Linked DNA regions of Stegostoma tigrinum. The protein of the gene in region 3 purifies or fractionates together with the protein of the main gene of each other region. This does not show direct contact. Links are inferred from orthologs where the notes say so. Each region holds a gene or a part of one and is shown on either strand. Other genes may lie near its edges.

Evidence for each region. The genes of interacting proteins can lie anywhere in the genome.
Region 1: the proteins of crebbpb (region 3) and srebf2 purify together in Homo sapiens (affinity purification with western blotting; 3 studies listed by BioGRID and IntAct, with this or other methods). This does not show direct contact. The link is inferred for Stegostoma tigrinum from reciprocal best matches to the Homo sapiens genes CREBBP and SREBF2.
Region 2: the proteins of crebbpb (region 3) and smarca4a purify together in Homo sapiens (affinity purification with western blotting; 3 studies listed by BioGRID, with this or other methods). This does not show direct contact. The link is inferred for Stegostoma tigrinum from reciprocal best matches to the Homo sapiens genes CREBBP and SMARCA4.

Annotation. Positions count from the first base shown.
Region 1 is NC_081391.1:4,387,216-4,394,678, reverse strand, and holds the start of srebf2 (sterol regulatory element-binding protein 2), read right to left. Parts: upstream 3,083-7,463; 5' UTR 2,909-3,082; coding exon 2,824-2,908; intron 1-2,823.
Region 2 is NC_081388.1:12,627,715-12,635,769, forward strand, and holds the start of smarca4a (SWI/SNF related, matrix associated, actin dependent regulator of chromatin, subfamily a, member 4a), read left to right. Parts: upstream 1-4,973; 5' UTR 4,974-5,063; intron 5,064-6,621; exon of another isoform or gene 6,622-6,738; intron 6,739-8,055. UniProt on the Homo sapiens protein: ATPase involved in transcriptional activation and repression of select genes by chromatin remodeling (alteration of DNA-nucleosome topology).
Region 3 is NC_081376.1:32,962,559-32,969,634, reverse strand, and holds the start of crebbpb (CREB binding protein b), read left to right. Parts: upstream 1-3,994; 5' UTR 3,995-4,741; coding exon 4,742-4,826; intron 4,827-7,070; coding exon 7,071-7,076. UniProt on the Homo sapiens protein: Acetylates histones, giving a specific tag for transcriptional activation. Mediates acetylation of histone H3 at 'Lys-18' and 'Lys-27' (H3K18ac and H3K27ac, respectively).

The DNA of each region.
Region 1 (7,463 bases), on a different chromosome or scaffold from region 3:
TAGGATAAACATTTTCAGTCTCTCATCTTCAATCTGTGGAAAAGGCCACCTGAGTATTTTTGTAATCAAGTCCGCTGCAGTGGGACTTGAGCCCATAAATTTGTGATAAGAGGCAACAGTGCAACCAACTGAGCTACAGCTGACTACATGGCTTGCATCAGCAAATGCTCAAAGGCGAGAACAAATTGTAATACTATGACTATAACAGATGCTAATCTGTGGCCATCAAATTTTACAGTAAACCAAGTGATATATCCTTATTAATGCTGATGATGGAGTTTGGTTTGTTTTCAAGGTGACAGACCAGATTCCATCACAGAAAAGTTACCATCCTAGTCTGTGTCAGTTTACATGCTTTTCCGGAGCCTCCTCCCATGCTACTCCACCTCATTCTTGAATAGATTCCCTACAGTATGGAAACAGGCCCTTTGGCCCAACAAGTCCACATTGCCCTTTGAACCTTCCACCTAGACCCATCCCCATCCCCCAAAAATCCACATACCCCTGAACACTACAGACAATTTAGCATGGCCGATCCACCTAATCTGCACATCTTTGGGCTGTGGGAGGAAACCGGAGCACCCAGAGGAAACCCACGCAGACACAGGGAGAATGTGCAAACTCCACACGCAGTCACCCGAGGCTGGAATCGAACCCAAGTCCCTGGCACTGTGAAGCTGCAGTGCTAATCACTGAGCCACCGTGCTGCCAATTCCCATCAATATTTTCTCCAAAGATGATCAGAGACTTTAATTCACAAAAAAAACTTACATACTTAATATCTTTCATGCCCTCAAGGCATCCTTCAAATGGGCAAAGGTTATAAAATGAAAAGGGTTTTAGTCTATCAATAAGTTGGTTTGTCCTGTATTTTATAGGTTAGTTGACATGAAGAAATATATGAACTTAGCAATGTAATAAAAATAAAATTGAGAGTGGATCTCTTTTTTAAAAAAGTCAAAAGGTTAATTATTTATTTTGTATTTGATGAACAGAATTCCAATTGTATAAGAAAAAATTTCTTTCAATTAAGTACTTGGACTATCAAAGCCAAAATCATTAGATTCTGCCATAAATGCCAGTACCTACTCATTCTTCAAAATCCATTATTTCAGCCAGCATCTGGCAAAATGTTCTCTTTTGGTATCAAACTGATAGATCATTCCTGAGTAAAGCAACCAAATAGCAATGAACGGCATTTATATAGTAGCTTTGATTTAGCTTAATATTCCATTGAGCACTTTCAGACAAAATATTGACACCAAGTCAAAGAAGCAGGATTTAAGACAAAAACCAGATCAAAAAGGCAGGTTTTAAGCAGGCCCTCGGTAAAGACAAATGCAGTGATCAGCTTCAGATGAAAACTGCAGAACATAGGATAAATTATTGAAACCATGGCTACCAATAATGGGGTGAAGGAAATAGGGATAAACAAGCAACAATAATTGAAGACCTTGAAAGGAAATGAGGTATTTGTAATCCAGAATTGCCAAAGCAGGAACTGATGTACTGCAGCAAGAGCAAGATGACAAATGAACAGCATTTGGTGCAGGTTAAGTCATGGGCAGTAGAACTCGGATGTGTTTAAGTACATCGAGTGTGGAAGATGGAAAGCTGGCCAATTGATCACTAGCATAGGCAAATCTAAAACTAACAAAAGTACAGATGAGGTTTTCAGTAACTGAGCACAGGCCATGGCAGAAATAGACAATGTTGAGAAGGAGGAAGCATATAGTGTTGGCGACTCTCAGGAGAAAGTCTGAGAGAAGATGTAGTCTGAAGTTAAATTCAGGGCCAAACCGGACACCCCAATTGTGGGCAATTTGGTTCAGCTTCAGACAGTTGTCAGGCAGAGATAAAAAAAAAGATCAGTTAATGGAGTTTAAAGCAGGATCTAATGATGATTGCTTCAATGTCCAGAACAGTTAACAAGAAGTAATTTTTGCTCATTTAATACCAGATGCCCAGCACAGCAGGGGATATTTTATGTTAAAGATATAAATGCACACTGTTGTGAATAAGAATCAGAGAGGCTCTGTTATCACAATATTTTACAAGTTACCACATTATCATGATTCTGATATCACAGATTTTACACACAGATCACATTCTCCATTCTACATTTTACAATTTACTGTCAGTGCAATAACCAAAAGTTAGTAAACAAATATCAGATGAGTAGTGATGGTAACTAACAGTAAACAAAGGAAACAATTACGCAAATAATAAGTAAAAATCAAAAGAACGGCTGTAAATCAGGAACAAAAACAAAGTTGCTGGAAAAGCTCAGCAGGTCCGGCAGCATCTGTGGAGGAGAAAACAGAGTTAACGCTTCGGATCTAGTTCTGAGGAAGGGTCACCGGACCCGAAACGTTAACTCTGTCTTCTCCTCCACAGATGCTGCCGGGCCTGCTGAGCTTTTCCAGCAACTTTGTACAATAGGAATGTTAGAAAATAGGCTGGATGGAATTATGTGTAGAATCTTATTATTTGTGTTAACAAAAACAAAGTTGCTGGAAAAGCTCAGCAGGCCCGGCAGCATCTGTGGAGGAGAAAACAGAGTGAACGCTTCGGATCTAGTTCTGAGGAAGAGTCACCAGACCCAAAACGTTAACTCTGTCTTCTCCTCCACAGATGCTGCCGGGCCTGCTGAGCTTTTCCAGCAACTTTGTTTTTGTTAACACAAATAATAAGATTCTACACATAATTCCATCCAGCCTATTTCCTAACATTCCTATTGTACATTCAGAATGATCATTTGTATACGTTGGTTTTAAACAGACTAACATACATTTTGGGAGGAAACATAAAGCATTAACTCACCATCAATATCCCCAAAATTCAGCCCCTCACTGAGCTCACTCAGTGAGGGGTCCATATTCTCAAACGATATATCCTCACCCTCCATTGTTTTAAGGGTCGAATGCTAGGGATTCCGATATTAAGAGGGTTACGTTTTCCTGTATCTCAGTTTAGGTTCCTGTTACTTTAACCCAACATTATCATTTCTCTTCGCAATTCCACTGCCGCCGCCGCCATCTTGGCCAGCCCCCTTTCCTCATGCCCCGCCCCCGTGACCCGGTGGCCTCACCCCATCCGGTGCGCGTGTTGATCGAGCGGTGGCGCGAGCGGCGTCCGTTGGTGTTGGCCGCAAACACGAGATGTGGGTCGGCCAATCGCTGGGCCAGCCGGCCTGATGGGGTGATGCGACGTCAACATGGGTACAGTCCGTCGCCTTGGTTACCGGCGGCGGCTTGCTTTCCAAATTTCGCCGTAGGTGTTTCTGCCCAATGCTGCGTCAGGTGAGGGTGGGAATGTTTTTTCCGTCTTTTTCGTCCAATACCTGCCAGCGTAAAGAGATTATGGCTGTGGAATGAAATTAAAATTGCACGAATCAAGGCTGGGAAAATGTGGAATTGCTGAAAAACCTCAGTAAACCACGCAGCATAACGGAGAGAAAGTAATTCCAGTCTTCAGAACGGAACTGGTCGCTAAGCCCGAGCCATTGACTCTGCTTTCTCTTCTCAAATGTTGCCAGGCCTGCTGATTTTACAGCAATTTCTGATTGCCAGCATCCGCAGTTCTTTGTTTTGAGTTGTTTTCCTCAGGGGGAAGGAGGCATTTGATTAAGGCGTACAAACCTCTAAGGAATAACTTCTCCTTAGAAGAACGGTTTGAAAATAGGGTGAGTGATAATGGGAACTGCAGATGCTGGTGAATCCAAGATAATAAAATGTGGGGCTGGATGAACACAGCAGGCCAAGCAGCAGCTCAGGAGCACAAAAGCTGACGTTTCGGGCCTAGACCCTTCATCAGAGAGGGGGATGGGGTGAGGGTTCTGGAATAAATAGGGAGAGAGGGGGAGGTGGACCGAAGATGGAGAGAAAAGAAGATAGGTGGAGAGGAGAGTATAGGTGAGGAGGTAGGGAGGGGATAGGTCAGACCAGGGAAGACGGACAGGTCAAGGAGGTGAGATGAGGTTAGTAGGTAGATGGGGGTGCGGCTTGGGGTGGGAGGAAGGGATGGGTGAGAGGAAGAACAGGTTAGGGAGGCAGAGACAGGTGGGACTGGTTTTGGGATGCAGTGGGTGGAGGGGAAGAGCTGGGCTGGTTTTGTGGTGCAGTGGGGGGAGGGGACGAACTGGGCTGGCTTTGGGTATGGTTTTAAGGTTAGCAATAGGAGGTATCAAGGGGATTTAAGGAAAAAGGTTTTTGCCCTCAGGGTTGTGTATATCTAACTCTGTGCCTGACAAGATAGTAGCAGTGGGAACTCTTCACTCATTTAAGTATCATTTATATGAGCATTTAAAATGCAACAGCAAACAAGGCTATGGGTCAACTGCTGGAAAATGGGATGAGAATAGATAGATGGTTGGTTTGGACCAAGAGGCCGAAAGACTTCTTTTCATAATGTAAAATCTTGACTCTAACATTATCTTAAATCATCATTCCCCTCAATTATAGATTATGTTTTTTTCTGGTGGGTTTAAACTACCTTGTCAAACACCTTCCAGAAGTCTGAACGCAACAGTTATTTCTCCTGTAATGCTTGTGTGATCTCATGTGAAAGAATTGAATTGAATCATTTATTCTCACATGTATTCAACGTAAAAACAGTGAAAAGTGTTCACCTTCGCCATACATACATGGTGCCAATCACATTAACTTAGAATAAGTCAAGGAAAAAGAACTCGAAAGTCCAACATGAGTTTGCGCTATAGAAAATCGCTTTGGAAAGTCATGTTATAGGGAAATCGTTATACAAAATCGCTAAACTATACAGTAGAAAGTTTGAGTTATCCAAACAGTGTCCACCGTTCATCAATCACGTGACAGCCAATTCACATCAGCGAAACAAGCGTTATGGCAGAACTACCTGTACCTCTACTGGTTTCCCTCTATACACTTTGGTTGAGACACTCGGAAAACTAGAAAATTAGTCAGGCGCGATTTCCCTTTCGTGAAGCCATGTTGACTCTGCTTGATGAGATTATGATTTTTCAAACATGCTGGTATAACTTCCTGAATAATCAATTCCAACCTTTTTCCAACAATATACATTAGGCTAATTGGCCTATAGTTACCCGCCTTTTGTTTCCCTTACTTTTCGAATAGAGATGTCACAGCAGTTTACTAATCCTCCAGTTCTCCCCCAGAATCCAAAGATTTTTGAAAAATTACAACCAATGTGTCCAATATCATAGCAGTAACCACTTTCAAGATCCTAGGGTGCAAGCTATAAGAGCCAGAGGACTTAACTACCTTAAGCTCCATAATATTATTTCTCTAATGATGGTGTTTAATTCCTCCCCCATATCCTTTAGTATTAATAGCACTTTGGAATATCTTCCACTGTAAACACTGATGCAAAGTATCTGTTGGACTCCTCTGCCATTACCTTGTTCCCTATAACTATCTTGCCAGATTCATTTTCTAAGGGTGACATGTTCACTTTGAACTCTCTCATCTAATGTATTTAAAGAAGCTCTGTTTGTCAGTTCTTGTATTTCTTACTAGTTTGCCCTCATTGTTTATTTCCTGTTTCTACTATTTTTTAGTCCTCTTGGTGATTCTGAATTTGTCCCAGTCTTCGGGGCAATCACTGACTTTTATCTTCAAAATGCTATTTCTTTCATCTTTGTGCTCTCTTTAATTTCCTTGGTTAACCATGGTTAGTTTATCCCCCCTTAGAATTTTTTTTCCTTACTGGGATATAATTTTGCTGCAAGTCATGAAATGCCTCCTTAAATGTCTGTTGCTATTTGCTTTGTGAGACTCGCTAGCACCAGGTGTCTTTGGGTTCAAAAAGCACTGTCCGCCAAGTACTTTGGATTTGTTTGAAGTTGCGGTGTGTCACAGAACTGAGAAAGGCGCAGTGGCATTAAAACTTCCAAGAAGGGATGTGCAATACAGATCTTTTGCTGTCTGCTCTGAGTGGATAAATAAAGCACTAAAGATGCTGAAAATAGAGCTTCTAACTCAAGTAACAACTTAAATCCAACTGACTAGCTACTGAACTGGAGATCACCACAGTCAACAACAATGCAATACCATTGCCAAAAACCAAAAGAACTATGAGAAAGTTATCTTATTGCGTTTTTGTCATTTGGAGTCTTGATCCACAGAATTTGTTCCTTTTCCCTTATGTTCCCTACCCATGATATGTCTCCTCCTACTTGTGAAAGAATATTGAGTGTTTAGGTTTAAAGGGGGTATAGTTTAAGTTTGTACAGTAGTGATTAATTGCCACTTGTTAAAGGATAAACTTGTTAAAATAAATAAGTTTAAGTCTTTTTGTTTATTAAATGAACCTGGTGCTTTTTAAAAATCTTAGCGGTCTAAGTCAAGCAAATTAATGATCTTGCTTTTAAATCAGTCATTTATGCATTTGTGACAATTCATACTAAACTTTTTAGACACTTCTTCAATACCAACCAGGGAATGCAAGTGCACATCTTCCTCAAGTTCAAAAAGCAACCATCACCACTACAGTATTAATCTTTCCTGTCATTCAAGCTAGCTTTGTGTCCATGCTGTTACTTTTTTTTTATTCCATAGGCTTCAACTTTGATTACAGGCCTGTTACCTGGAACTTTATCAAGTCCATTTACATCACATCAACTTACAACATTTTGTGATGTTGTGATCCAGAAATTGAATCTGGATGGGTACATGAATAGAAACGGTTTGGAGGGATATGTGCCAAATGCTGGCAACTGGAACTGGGTCAGATTGGGTGTCTGGTTGGCACGGACAAATTGGACTAAAGGGTCCGTATCTGTTCTTATGACTCCATGAACTGTAAATCTCTGTTTCCCCATTATTGAGAAGATTGTTACAAGTCGGAACAAAATCTGGCTTGTACCTTCTTTTATTTGAAATTACTGTAAGATGAATGCCTGCAGGGAGTGTCTCATGGTAGAGGTCACACAACCACAACAAGCTAGGAGACACTTTTTTTTGTATTCATTCGCGGGATGTGGGTGTTGCTAGCTGGTCAACGTTTATTGCCCATCCCAAGTGAGTCCAATATGGCGGCAAAGTAGGAATAGTTGGAATACCTCTGCTGGCCAGGTCTTTTACCCCTTTCCCCGTCCCCCTGTGTGGAGTTCTGGAAGACTGGAGCAAGTGGGCCAAGACCCACGGCAAACCGGAGCAAGCATGACCAAGACTCAGGGAGGACCAGAGCAAGTGGTCAAGTCCTGTGGCAGTCCGGAATAAGTGGGCCGAGACCTGTGGAGAACCGTACATTGCCGAGGCCAGGTGCCAGCTCTTCGACACCTCCTCCTGCCGCCCCCTTGATCATGACCCCACCCCGACAACCAAACCATCATCTCCCAAACCATGCACAACCTCATCACCTCAGGTGACCTCCATCCCACAGCCTCCAACCTCATCGTTCCCCAATGCCACACCGCCCACTTCTATCTCCTTCCCAAAATCCACAAACCTGACTGCCCTGGC
Region 2 (8,055 bases), on a different chromosome or scaffold from region 3:
ATGACCCCCGTCGCCCCCGATGACCCCCGGCTCCGTCTCCCCCAATGACCCCTGTCTCCCCCAATGACCCCCTTCTCCCCCAATGACACCCCCACCTCCGTCTCCCCCAATGACCCCCACGCTCCGTCTCCTAAAATGACCCACCCTGCTCCGTCTCTTAAAATGACCCTCGTCTCCCCCAATGAGCCCCCTGCTCACTGTCCCCCAATGACCCCCCCCTCCGTCTCCCCCAATGACCCCCGTCTCCCCCAATGACCCCCCCGCTCCGTCTCCCCCAATGACCCCCCCGTCTCCCCCAATGACCCCCCCCGTCTCCCCCACTGACCGCCCCCCTCCTCCGTCTCCCCCACTGACCCCACGTCTCCTCCAATGACCGCCCCCCTCCTCCGTCTCCCCCAATGACCCCCGTCTCCCCCAATGACCCCCCCGCTCCGTCTCCCCCGATGACCCCCCGATCCGTCTCCCCCAATGACCCACGTCTCCCCCGATGATCCCCCCGCTCCGTCTCCCCCAATGACCCCCGTCTCCCCCAATGACCCCCGTCTCCCCCAATGACCCCCCCGCTCCGTCTCCCCCATGACCCCCGTCTCCCCCGATGACCCCCCCGCTCCGTCTCCCCCGATGACCCCCCCGCTCCGTCTCCCCCGATGACCCCCGTCTCCCCCGATGACCCCCCCCACTCCGTCTCCCCCATGACCCCCGTCTCCCCCGATGACCCCCCCCACTCCGTCTCCCCCGATGACCCCCCCACTCCGTCTCCCCCAATGACCCCCGTCTCCCCCGATGACCCCCCTCCTCCGTCTCCCCCACTGACCCCCCCCGTCTCCCCGATGACCGCCCCCCTCCTCCGTCTCCCCCGATGACCCTTCTTGCTCCGTCTCCCCCATTGACCCCCCCGCTCCGTCTCCCCCAATGACCTCACCCCGCTCCGTCTCCACCAATGACACCCCTCCGCCCCCAATGACCCACCTCCTCCGTCTCCCCCAATGACCACCGTCTCCGCCGATGACCCCCCCGCTCCGTCTCCCCAATGACCCCCGTCGCCCCCGATGACCCCCGGCTCCGTCTCCCCCAATGACCCCCGTCTCCCCCAATGACCCCCACGCTCCGTCTCCTAAAATGACCCACCCTGCTCCGTCTCTTAAAATGACCCTCGTCTCCCCCATGAGCCCCCTGCTCACTGTCTCCCAATGACCCCCCCTCCGTCTCCCCCAATGACCCCCCCGCTCCGTCTCCCCCAATGACCCCCCCGTCTCCCCCAATGACCCCCCCGTCTCCCCCACTGACCGCCCCCCTCCTCCGTCTCCCCCACTGACCCCACGTCTCCTCCAATGACCGCCCCCCTCCTCCGTCTCCCCCAATGACCCCCGTCTCCCCCAATGACCCCGTCTCCCCCAATGACCCCCCCGCCCCGTCTCCCCCAATGACCCCCCCGCCCCGTCTCCCCCAATGACCCACGTCTCCCCCAATGACCCCCCCGCTCCGTCTCCCCCAATGACCCACGTCTCCCCCGATGACCCCCCCGCTCCGTCTCCCCCGATGACCCCCCCGCTCCGTCTCCCCCGATGACCCCCCCCGCTCCGTCTCCCCCGATGACCCCCCCCGGCTCCGTCTCCCCCAATGACCCCCGTCTCCCCCAATGACCCCCTTCTCCCCCAATGACCCCCTTCTCCCCCAATGACCCCCTTCTCCCCCAATGACACCCCCACCTCCGTCTCCCCCAATGACCCCCACGCTCCGTCTCCTAAAATGACCCACCCTGCTCCGTCTCTTAAAATGACCCTCGTCTCCCCCAATGAGCCCCCTGCTCACTGTCCCCCAATGACCCCCCCCTCCGTCTCCCCCAATGACCCCCCGTCTCCCCCAATGACCCCCCCGCTCCGTCTCCCCCAATGACCCCCCCGTCTCCCCCAATGACCCCCCCGTCTCCCCCAATGACCGCCCCCCTCCTCCCCCAATGACCGCCCCCCTCCTCCGTCTCCCCCACTGACCCCACGTCTCCTCCAATGACCGCCCCCCTCCTCCGTCTCCCCCAATGACCCCCGTCTCCCCCAATGACCCCCCCGCCCCGTCTCCCCCAATGACCCCCCCCGATCCGTCTCCCCCGATGACCCCCCCGCTCCGTCTCCCCCAATGACCCCCGTCTCCCCCGATGACCCCCGCTCTGTCTCCCCCGATGAGCCCCCCGCTCCGTCTCCCCCATGTCCCCCGTCTCCCCCGATGACCCCCCCGCTCCGTCTCCCCCGATGACCCCCCCGCTCCGTCTCCCCCATGACCCCCGTCTCCCCCAATGACCCCCCCACTCCGTCTCCCCCATGACCCCCGTCTCCCCCAATGACCCCCCCCACTCCGTCTCCCCCATGACCCCCGTCTCCCCCAATGACCCCCCCACTCCGTCTCCCCCATGACCCCCGTCTCCCCCAATGACCACCCCCACTCCGTCTCCCCCATGACCCCCGTCTCCCCCAATGACCCCCCCCCACTCCGTCTCCCCCATGACCCCCGTCTCCCCCAATGACCCCCCCCACTCCGTCTCCCCCATGACCCCCGTCTCCCCCAATGACCCCCCCCACTCCGTCTCCCCCATGACCCCCGTCTCCCCCATGACCCCCGTCTCCCCCAATGACCACCCCCACTCCGTCTCCCCCATGACCCCCGTCTCCCCCAATGACCCCCCCCACTCCGTCTCCCCCATGACCCCCGTCTCCCCCGATGACCCCCCCCGCTCCGTCTCCCCCGATGACCCCCCCCGCTCCGTCTCCCCCATGACCCCCGTCTCCCCCGATGACCCCCCCGCTCCGTCTCCCCCATGACCCCCGTCTCCCCCAATGACCCCCCCCGCTCCGTCTCCCCCGATGACCCCCCCCGCTCCGTCTCCCCCATGACCCCCGTCTCCCCCGATGACCCCCCCACTCCGTCTCCCCCATGACCCCCGTCTCCCCCGATGACCCCCCCCACTCCGTCTCCCCCGATGACCCCCCCCGCTCCGTCTCCCCCATGACCCCCGTCTCCCCCGATGACCCCCACCCCACTCCGTCTCCCCCGATGACCCCCCCCACTCCGTCTCCCCCGATGACCCCCCTCCTCCGTCTCCCCCACTGACCCCCCCCGTCTCCCCGATGACCGCCCCCCTCCTCCGTCTCCCCCGATGACCGCCCCCCTCCTCCATCTCCCCCACTGACCCCCCCGTCTCCCCCGATGACCGCCCCCCTCCTCCGTCTCCCCCGATGACCGCCCCCCTCCTCCGTCTCCCCCATGACCCCCGTCTCCCCCAATGACCCCCCCCGCTCCGTCTCCCCCGATGACCCCCCCGCTCCGTCTCCCCCATGACCCCCGTCTCCCCCGATGACCCCCCCCGCTCCGTCTCCCCCGATGACCCCCCCGCTCCGTCTCCCCCGATGACCCCCCCCGATGACCCCCCCCGCGACCCCCGTCTCCCCCGATGACCCCCCCCGCTCCGTCTCCCCCATGACCCCCGTCTCCCCCGATGACCCCCCCCCGCTCCGTCTCCCCCATGACCCCCGTCTCCCCCGATGACCCCCCCCCGCTCCGTCTCCCCCATGACCCCCGTCTCCCCCGATGACCCCCCCGCTCCGTCTCCCCCATGACCCCCGTCTCCCCCGATGACCCCCCCCACTCCGTCTCCCCCGATGAACCCCCCCACTCCGTCTCCCCCGATGACCCCCCCCGCTCCGTCTCCCCCGATGACCCCCGTCTCCCCCGATGACCCCCACCCCACTCCGTCTCCCCCGATGACCCCCCCCCACTCCGTCTCCCCCGATGACCCCCGTCTCCCCCGATGACCCCCCTCCTCCGTCTCCCCCACTGACCCCCCCCGTCTCCCCGATGACCGCCCCCCTCCTCCGTCTCCCCCGATGACCGCCCCCCTCCTCCGTCTCCCCCACTGACCCCCCCGTCTCCCCCGATGACCGCCCCCCTCCTCCGTCTCCCCCGATGACCGCCCCCCTCCTCCGTCTCCCCCGATGACCCCCCCGTCTCCTCCGATGACCCCCCCTCCTCCTCCGTCTCCCCCGGTGACCCCTAGTCTCCCACAGTGACCCCCCTTCTCCGTCTCCCCGGGTGACTCCCAGTGACCCCCCCTCCGTCTCCGTCTCCGTCTCCCCCGGTGACCCCCCAGTCTCTCCCAGTGCCCCCTCCTCCGTCTCCCTCAATGACCCCTGTCTCTCCCAGTGCCCCCTCCTCCGTCTCCCTCAATGACCCCTGTCTCTCCCAGTGCCCCCTCCTCCGTCTCCCTCAATGACCCCTGTCTCTCTCAGTGCCCCCTCCTCCGTCTCCCTCAATGACCCCTGTCTCTCTCAGTGCCCCCTCCTCCGTCTCCCTCAATGACCCCTGTCTCTCTCAGTGCCCCCTCCTCCGTCTCCCTCAATGACCCCTGTCTCTCTCAGTGCCCCCTCCTCCGTCTCCCTCAATGACCCCTGTCTCTCTCAGTGCCCCCTCCTCCGTCTCCCTCAATGACCCCTGTCTCTCCCAGTGACCCCCCCTCCGTCTCCGTCTCCCCCGGTGACCCCCCAGTCTCTCCCAGTGCCCCCTCCTCCGTCTCCCTCAATGACCCCTGTCTCTCCCAGTGCCCCCTCCTCCGTCTCCCTCAATGACCCCTGTCTCTCCCAGTGCCCCCTCCTCCGTCTCCCTCAATGACCCCTGTCTCTCCCAGTGCCCCCTCCTCCGTCTCCCTCAATGACCCCTGTCTCTCTCAGTGCCCCCTCCTCCGTCTCCCTCAATGACCCCTGTCTCTCCCAGTGCCCCCTCCTCCGTCTCCCTCAATGACCCCTGTCTCTCCCAGTGCCCCCTCCTCCGTCTCCCTCAATGACCCCTGTCTCTCCCAGTGCCCCCTCCTCCGTCTCCCTCAATGACCCCTGTCTCTCTCAGTGCCCCCTCCTCCGTCTCCCTCAATGACCCCTGTCTCTCTATCTCCTTTCTCCCCCCATCCCCCAAACCCGCAGTCGAGACTCTGCGCATGCTCGCTGGCTGCCAGCCCCGCTCGCGGTCTTACCGGCCGTTTCTCTTTGTTCCATTAAACAGCGCGAGCGGCGCCTCCAGTCCAGGTAAAAGCCTCTCGGCTTCTCATCTCTCCAGGACCGGGGGCTTGTGGGCGGGTAACCGGGGCTGGGCAGCGGGGAGGGACCGGCGGATGAACAAGGTCCGCTACCGGTTTGCTGTTGAATGAGGGGCGGCGCGGCTCGGTTGCCCCGGCGCCGCTTTTATTGTTTAAAAGACGAGATTGAGCTGCAGGCCCCGCCGCTCGAGATGGTGGCGCATTCGGACTAAAATTAATTAGTTTATATTGCGATTAATTCAAAATATATTGTTTAGCCAGATCTGAACAGCGGAGGGAACTGCCTGGCTTTATTGCACTGTTCGATCAGCTGTATTATTCTGTACATGTGTGTGTTTCTCACGTTAGCGCTTTCTGCGTGGGTAGCTGCTGAAGGAACAAAGCATCAATCTCTGTTTCTGCAAAGACATGTTATTTGTTAGTTCAAAAGAAAACTTTATATTTGCTGCATAGGCGATACTTTTAAATATCTCTTGTAGTGTGTTAGGAAACATCCATGGTATGTTTTAAGTTGCAATAATGCCGTATGAATATGACCCCGTTTGAATGTTTTCCCTTCCCCTTTTGTTATCTCAATAAATCGAAAAATATAGTCGTTTACAAGTTTTTGTTATGATTGTAGAGCTATCTGTTGTGAATTGATGCTGTACCCTGTTGAATATTGTTGTTTATAGATTTTCCATTTCTTTTAAGTATTTTGCATATGTGAGCCTGGAAATCGGGATGTGTTGTTTATGATGTGGTTTCAGTGATGACCTAGTTTATTATTTAAAATGCAATGTGGATGTTCATAACTAATTTCAAAGACTAGAGTTGCTGTATAGTCAGTTTCTGTTTTTTTTTATTTCTTATTTTTCCCTGACCCTGATAGCGTGAACCCAGCTAAGTAGACAAGTGTTTGAAGTTCTTAAAGACGAAAGTACAATGCTTTGAACAATGCAGTGTTGCCTCCTGCCTGGAAAGTTCTGCTCCAGACTAAGCCCTCTTCCCACATACTTCTATTAACCAACTATGGTTCACAGAAAGGGAGAATTAAAAGCAGCTCTGTTATAAGCTAACTTTGCTTCCTGTTGGGTGCAAAGGATGACATTGACAGATGCAGCCGTTCACGGTTCAGCTCATACAGCTTTCCTGTGGAGGCTATGAAAAACTTGAGTTTATTTTTATTTAAAATTTCATTTTCCTCTCAAAGATTTTGTGGGGTTCAAGAAACTGCAGACATCTCTTTCCCTGGCAAGATGGACAAACTATTTGATTGTAATAGGCTTTGCAACAGAGCCAATCTGTTCTCTTCACAAGCTAAGAATGAATAAATGGAAAGACTGGGCAATTCAGCATGTCAGGCAGATGTTTCATCAATTAACATAACAAGAATTTGGAAATTTATATAGTTTCTAAAAGTTGGTGAATGAGGACAGAGCAGTGATAGGGGTTGAACAAAGTGCAAAGTGATAGTGATTATGAGTTGGAATGGTGACCATCTATCTACCTGTTGATCTCACATGGAAGTAATGATCTTTCTCTTTCTCATCTTACACATGTGGAAGATTTATCTACAATTGAATCCCTCCAGATACAGATTTTCAAAAATGTGGTGAACTTTACATAGGAAGGACAGCCCCTGCAGCGATACAGTGTCCTTGGGTTGCTATCCTGTTGAGCTGGTAAGAGGCATAAGCTTAAATCACGAAAGCAGCATTTTTAAAAAGCACTGCTAGCTGACCTCAGCCAGTCAGTTGTTCTGACAGAAAAGTGTAGGTTGTGTTTCAAAACATGATCAATTCTGCATAAAATAAATGAAAGATGGAAGTATATCATTCTTTGAGCAGAAGGCTGAGTTAGGGCAGCTCTTCTGTGTGGTAGAGTAAGCACTTGCTTCAAAGTGGAGAGGTCATACAGGGCAAGCTTCAGAGCCACTTGACATTCAGATCTGCCAACTTCATTTGGTCTGAACTTTTATCTTGTCAATTGGACTGTTTAATTGGAGGGATGACTCAATGAGAGATGGGAGAAAACACTTTGTTTTGTTCTAATTTGTTTGTAAGAGTACATTGTAGATATATTTTCTCCTTAAGATTGTTATTACTCTTTTCCAACTCACCAAGTTCCTTTGTAGAACTAGCTACAGTATTTCCTTCAGCAGGAATTGCCAGTCTGAGCTCAGATGCAACTTGGTCTGACGCTCCCTGCTTGTGACTGTGTAAAGATGCACTGAGTATTTCTCAGCCATCCCTAAGCAATGGTAGCTCTTGGGATTGGCAGCTGTGTGGACTGTAATTCAAGCCTGCATTGTGCATTCGCATTCTTATTGACTAGTGTCATCAAGGCACTAATATTTTGATGGATTGCTGGGAAGTTCATTGAAGTCGCTACTTCCTAAATGGCTTTGCCCCTCTAGCCCATAAGATGAAATTTGTGATGTGCCCAGTAGGACAAAGAGTGAGCTGTGGAGAAAACTCTGTTAGAGCACAGTACAAAAACAGAAATTGCTGGAGAAACTCAGTAGGTCTGGCACCATCTGTGGAGAGAAGGTGGAGTTAACGTTTCAAGTCCCTCAGACAGCATCTTCCAAATTAGAAGGAGAAGGACAGCATCTTAAAGTTCCCTCCGAGCCACTCACCATCAACGTTCCTTCACTGTCACTGGGTCAAAATCTTGGAATTCCTTATGCATTGTAGATTAACCCACAGCAGGTGGACTGCAGCGGTTCAAGAAGGCAGCTCACTACCAGCTTCTCAAAGGCAACAAGGGATGGGCAAGAAATGCTGGGCCAGTAATGCCCACATCCCAAAAATGAATAAAAAAAAGTCCAGTGACCCTCCCTCAGAAACAATCCGTGATTTCATTCCAAATGTTCAGCCAGCAACAGGCATTTGTATCAAATCTTAAACTTCCAAGGCGTCAGACAACATTTGACATGTGTTGAACTCGAGTTTGTAAATCAAGAAAATTTGAACAACTCTTCACTGCTTTTATCTTTC
Region 3 (7,076 bases):
AAGTGAGGTAAATTTAAGATTGCTTCTCACAATTTAAACATTTTCTGGGTGATGTTTGAATTTTACAACTAGACACCCCTCTTGTCCAAGAGAGCACTTCAAAAACAACTGAAGATGCTGTAAATCAAAGAACCATGGAAAACACTGCTCATTCTTTTTGGTAGTTATGTATAAACAGGAAATCTGGTGAAGGAAAAACTATACACCCATGACTTTTTAGTTTTTTTTTAACTTAAATAGATTATTTCTTGTGGATTTTGAATAATTTATTTGTGTTAGTTTGCACTCGGGTATATATTTCTCATTTTCAATTTCATAATTTTCAATTTGTTGATAAGCTGCAGACCATTAAAATTGTGGTTAATCTTAGGAGATAAAAGGGTTAAACTAATGTGGTCCCTTTTTTAACACAGTGGATGGTACAGATGGACATTTAAATAGGACAGAATATGGGGAAAGTAGTCATTCTCACAGACATACCCCCCCCACCACCACCGCACCTTTGAATAAAAATTGCTCTTTGGCCACATTGGCCATTTCTCTATTTTCTTCTGAGAAAAGGTTTATGGCCTGAACAATTGACTATATTTCTGGAATTCCTAGCAGATGGCTGGATTATTTCTATCCTCTTCTGTTTTACAGATGGCTAAATTCTTCAATTGAGAGCAAACTCTCTCAACAGCTTTAAATATTTGCAAGTTTCAACTATAACTGTGGATTAAATCTTGTTTCTTTCCCAAACCCTACAACCAGTTAATGTTGCCAAGGTTTGCAGAGAGTTAAAACTTCTGTAAGTGTGCATTTTACTTTATAAGTTGAGATGGTGACATTTGTTGTAAAAGACAAACCAGTCTCTATGTAGGTTGATTGCGAAAGGACAATTTTCTGACCAGCTTCTTCTATTACCAAGTGACTTGCTGGAGAAAGAATTGAGTAAAATAGAATGGAAAATTTCTCCTTGCACAGAAGGCATTAGATCGGGACTCTCTTGCTCTAGCTGATGGTATGATTATGGCTTATCCACATTGAATTTTTTTTGTTTCACAGGGTTGCAGGCAAGTCCATTTCTGGCAAAGAACCCAGTAAGGCCTTGTTCTTAATTAACTATCTTTATTTAAATAAACTTTTAAATAAGTGAAAATGCCTTGCTGTTTTTTGAAGTAATGGCATTCTGTTTTCTTTTCATTTGAGCTGTCAGAAAGGGTCTGATCATGCAGCATTCCCTCAGTACTATTCTTATGTCAACTTAGGTTATCTGGAGTGAGATTTGAACCTGTAACCTTCAACCTGATGTAAAAATGCTGCAGCATTTAGACTTCTTTTGAGACCTAGAAATCCAGTTAAGACCATAGAAAACCTAAAATAAATTGAGGTTAAGTACTGCATATTTAAAATAGGGCTCTATTTACTATTTACCCTGCTTGAGTACTTTAATACCTTGGCATAGGAGAAGGGTGAGAGATTCAAGGGTGTAAGTGACCCTATTATTTTAACTGCTCCCACAGTTTGTCTTTGGGTTGATTCTCTGCCTATCTATAATATCAGTCACACCAGAGGAAAGGTGTCTAGTGCCTCCTCTGATGGGAATTTTAGGTTCGCTCACTGCTGAGGTATCTGGCACATAAAATGTTCAGACTATACATTAGGATCAGACATACTGATCTCTGAGAAGTTGGACATAGGGCCTATCTTGGATGTGGGTCAGGTTAGGCTAATGAACAAGGTCCAAAAGTAATTTATTAGCACAGGTCAAATGGTGGTGCCTTCATTTGCTTTGAATATTACCATAAGGTGGAAGATGGCTATGCACCCAAATATTTTTCATTTGCTGTGATAATCTGAATGAAATGCCTGGCAGGATGCTCAAATCTCTATCCTAAGGAGGCTTGCAAAGAAGCCAAGAAGGCCATACGTTATCAAATGTGGGAATCACTAGCTTACACTAGAGTAAATTTGCAACACCTCCAATGGGTTGGCTTGCAAACCTACAATGACTATAGGCAACACAAGTCAATGATGCATGCTACAACTAAAACTGCAACAGCCTCATGTGATGTGTTTGTGCTCGCCTCCTTAGCCAATAACACTCAATCTGAATTCAATAAAGCAAAATACTACAGATTAAGTAAGGCAAATCAAGGCAGGACTTAGGTCCTGGGAGTGTTGCTGAATAAAGAGGTCTTGGGGTGCAGGTTCACATCTCTTTGAAAATAGAGGCACAAGTGGACAGGGTAGTGAAAAAGCAAATGGTGTACTTGCCTTGAGTATTGGATTCAAATCTGGTCTTCCTGCTGTAGGAAAGAGATTGTTAAACTTGAAAGGATTCAGAAAAGATATTGCCAGAATGGGGCGGGGGGAGGGGGGCGCGGGTGGTGAAGAGGGGGAGCTGAATAGGTTTGGTGTATTTTCCTTGGATCGTCAGAGTCAAGGGATGAACTTACAGGTTTATAAAATCATGAGGGACTTGGATAAGGTGAAAGCCAAGGTCTTTTCCCTGGGGGTGTCCAGAACTAGAGGTCACAGGTTTAGGATGAGAGGGGAAAGATTAAAGATAGAATTGCAACATTTGACAAGCATCTGAGACAAAATCTGAATTGTGTCTGAGATAATGTTATTTTTTAGGGATGCAGTAGGGGAAGGGGAGATTTTGAAACTGGTGAAGTCCACATTGATACCATATTTTATTTTTTAGGGATGCAGTAGGGGAAGGGTTAGGGTTAGGGTTAGGACTCTCTGATGAAGGGTCTAGGCCCGAAACGTCAGCTTTTGTGCTCCTGAGATGCTGCTTGGCCTGCTGTGTTCATCCAGCCTCACATTTTATTATCTCTGAATTGTGTCTGTTGCCTGTGTACCATCTTTCTTGGAACTTTAAAACTGATCCTTTTTGCATCAGAGTTATCAGTTTGGAAACGTTAGTCTGCTTTTTCTGCGAGGATGCTGCCTGACCCGATGTGATCTCCAGCATTTTTGTTTTCAGTTAGTTTGTGAGAAATACGGGATCCTCGTGAAGGTCTAAATCCAAGAGAGGCCCCTTCAGTTATAGCTACTAACGCATTACGACTTTAATGTTTTTATTGTTGTGGCAGTTGCCCTAAGCTGCTAAAGAACTTAACGTAAAATTTATTTGCTACACTTATGTTGCCACCTCTTACCTCCTTTAAGATACTTAAAATTTGCTTATTTGACCTCGCTTTTGGTCATCTAATATTTGTCTTGGGTAAGTGTTATGTTGTTTGATAATGCTTCTGTGAAGGGCATTGAAACATTCTTCAATGTTGAAGATTCCATAAAAATCAAAGTTTTAAAATAACTATTCCGTCAAATAATAGTCAATGTCTAAGAAAAAAAATACAATGTTTCATCTTCGACTCCAGACCATCCAACACTCGAGGGAGACCGACTCGTTGCTTCGTTTGGAGATGAATGTACGTTTCAATCCACAGCAGTCATAAGATGTCTAAGCCCTTTATACAATCTCAGCTTGTGCTACCGAAAGGGTATCATTTGAAAATTGAGGCGCGACTTTGATTATTTGTACTTCCTGCCCACTTAATTTAGGAAACTATTTTTGTAAATAGATATTTTGAGAAGTCCTAAGGCTATCACATTTTACAATTGCCAACAGGAAGCGATATTAGTATTTCGAATGGCGTTAAACGTGTTAATGTAATTTGGTTCCGTAAATGTCGTGAAATTGTATTACACGTTTAATAATATAGTTATTAACACGTAAATATTACAACTCATTCACAGCTGTAAGCTCCGTGCGCATGTCCATTTGATAGTAACCCCACAATGCATCAGGAGCTCTGATGACGTAATGTACGTTCGGCCGCTTGCTCCCTCATTTCTTACGGAGACGGCCAATCCGCAGGCGGCGGACGGATCACGCGGAGTCATCATCCTCCACCCGAAGCAGGGTTCGGGTATTTCCGACCAGCTACTAAGGTGCTTTCGGCAGTTTTCGTATACTTGGCTCCGCCTCCCTCATCCTTCCTCCCCTCCCCTTCCCCCTCCATCGGTGGACGGAACGTCAGGAGGAAAAAAAACTTTAAGATCAACAGCCGCCATTTTGGTGGAAAATTTCATCCGAAATTTCGGAGGAATTGAACGGCGTCGGGAGCTGTGCTCGCTGTCTTGAGTATTCCTCAAAACCCATATTCGGTTGCGAAATCCACATAGCCGTCAAATTATTGCGAGTCCGGGCGCCTTCAAACGGTGGAAAAGCGATAAGAGAAAGGGGACCGGCTGAAGGGGAGGGGGGAGGTGGTGTTTAAAAATCCGTATCCCCTTCGCTCCGCCGTACCAAGTCTTTGGGTGAAGTATTGTTTTCATCGGCTCAGCCGGCAGCGGTCTGGCGTCAGTCCCCGGCCTGGTCCCGGTCCTGGCCCTGGCGCTATACCGAAAATGCGGCCTGACTGATCGGCTCGATTTTATGTTTTTTCCAACTGCATATTAAAGTGAAGATAGGGGTTGGACAGCTTTTTTGTTCCCTGTGTGAGGGGGGGAGTGGAATGGCGGAACAGGGTGTCGCGTTAGGGGAATGGCGCTGTGGCTGAGGAGGAGCGGGCTCTCGGTGCTAGTCAAAGGCCCCAGGGCCTGCCAGAGTCGCTGCTGTGTCCGTCTTTATCCCGCCCCCTCACCCCCCTCACCTTTCATGTTCATTAGATGAAACTAGCTTGAAAAGGGAGGGGGGAACGATTTATACGCATACACACGTATAAAATATATATATAATAAAATGGCCGAGAACCTACTGGATGGACCGCCGTCAGCCAAACGGCCCAAACTCAACTCGCCGGCGCTCTCTGCCAGTGACAGTACAGGTAAGGAAGGGACATCGCCTCGGACAACCGCGGAGTATAAGTAGTTGCATAGCTGCCCAACACTCCTCTTTGTGGATGGTAAATAGGAATGGAGTGCGTATGTTTTGAAATTGAGGATTTTGGCAGAAACTTAAAACCGTGTTTCTTTTGGTGGGGAAGGTTATTGATAGGTTTTGTTCCTTCCTTCACTCCAGCTCCCGATCCCGCAAAAGTAAAACTAGCAGTGTTTACGATCGTTTATTTGGGAAGGTTTGAGCCAGAATGGCTCAGTAAGGTGTTGAAGATCATTAGATGTTCTGAGATATTGTATATTTAGAGACAAGTAAGAAGGAATTATATTTGAGAGGATATTGATTGGTGTAAATCTTCAGCATTGGTTACGAAACTCATTTCGCACTTTTTATGTTCGATCGTTGATAGATTTGCACCATAATTTTCGCGTGAGCAAATACCAATAAAATTAGACCTTGGTTTCGGTGTGATGAAATAAAGTTTGTCTCGCACATTTGTTTAAAGTGTTATAACATTTGAGAAATTAGACTAGTGGTGAATTTCGCTGGTAGAAAGCATTTCGTTTAAACTAATGGAATACGTAATAAAGTAGAATAATATTTATCAAACGTCTGCTGATTAAATATTTTTTAGTCTTTCAACTGACTTGTGACAGGTGAAATCGTAATTTGTTAACTTCACGTAAAAATGTATAACATGTAAGATTGCAGCATTTGTTGGAAAATATGCATCTGATACTGTGTGTAAACCGTGCATGTGTCGCAAGTAGCAGACGTCCGTATTTTGGGCATTATTTTGTAAATAGAAACTTGTAGCGGTGAATTGCGTTAAGGCCACTATAGTTGGCGGAAGCCCAGGGATTTATAACACCTCCCTGTTACTGTCCCGTGGATCCTGGTGAGCCAAGTGATCAATGTTATTGTCAAAATCTTAATAATATTTGCAGCTTACCGTCAGGTATGCCAACATTTAACGGGAGAGATGCAACTAAAATGCAGTTGCCTGTGCAATTTACGTATTTTTCGTTTTGCGATAATTTAATGAGTATCCCAACTGACACTAGACTATATTGGAAGGCAATAATAATTATCGACAGTTGAGTTTATGGGTGAGATTTTTAAACTAGTATATTATACTATTAATTCTGCAGTAGTGGTGTTTGATGTTTGCAGTGAACAAATAAAAATAAAATGAAGTGTTTACTTTGGTAGACTATTTACCCCATTGGGCCATTAAAATATGTGAACAAATGAATATTTTAAGCTCTACTTTCATCTTTTGGCAATTAATTGTTGTCGGATGCTACACCTGTGCACATGTACAATCACTGGGTGGTGGATACTTTGGCGCATTCTGTCCTTGAAGCTTGAACTGCAGCATATGATGTTTTAAATTATGCAGCATCACATTGAAGAAACATAGGTCATTTGTATGTTCACAGACAGTTGTGCAAGTTGTAGAGTATCATCACTAAGGTTTGTGAGACCAAGATTTAAGTAATCATATTATTTCCTGACCTTTTTACCTTTGGAACTACCCCCACTGCTGTTGTATAAAGTCTCTTTTCACAATGTGCAGGCCTGTGTTTTGGCTTCTAAGACTGTTACAAGTCATTGTAAATGTTTTTATTGGAAACATGTTTGAAACACATTACACACTTCAGAAATGCTTACCATTATAACAAATAAGGATACTTGTATATGTATGAGGGTTTAATAAGTTGCACTGGTGATTTGCTAAACAGATTATTCTTCTTAAAATAGCATCAGGCACTGGTCAAATTTAGTATATTCCCTACAAAAGGTTTTGGCTTGTTAATCAGTATTTACTATGATGCCAATATTTAAAATGCAATTGTTGGCATAAATGATCTCAAACTTCTGCAATTGTATGAGAAACAATCAATTTTTTTTATTAAAAGTGGCTATTTTCCGAACTCCTTTTAAAATTAGAAACTAATAGACGTAGCTAATTGCCACACAAATCTTGATATATTTGGAAGTTTGTTAATAAAGATTAAGTTGTTAGAGTTGGTTAACTGTTAAAAACTTAGCAAGGTATTGCTCATTAAATAGGATTTTAAGAATACATATTTATGTATTGTATTAAATTATGCCTCCGTGTTGTGTTCATCTTTGGGTAGATTTTATCTTTAATACAAAATGCTTATAATATGTGAATAGTGCACTTTTACTAATCAAATGCTAAAAGCGAATAACTTCTGTTTTACAGATTTTG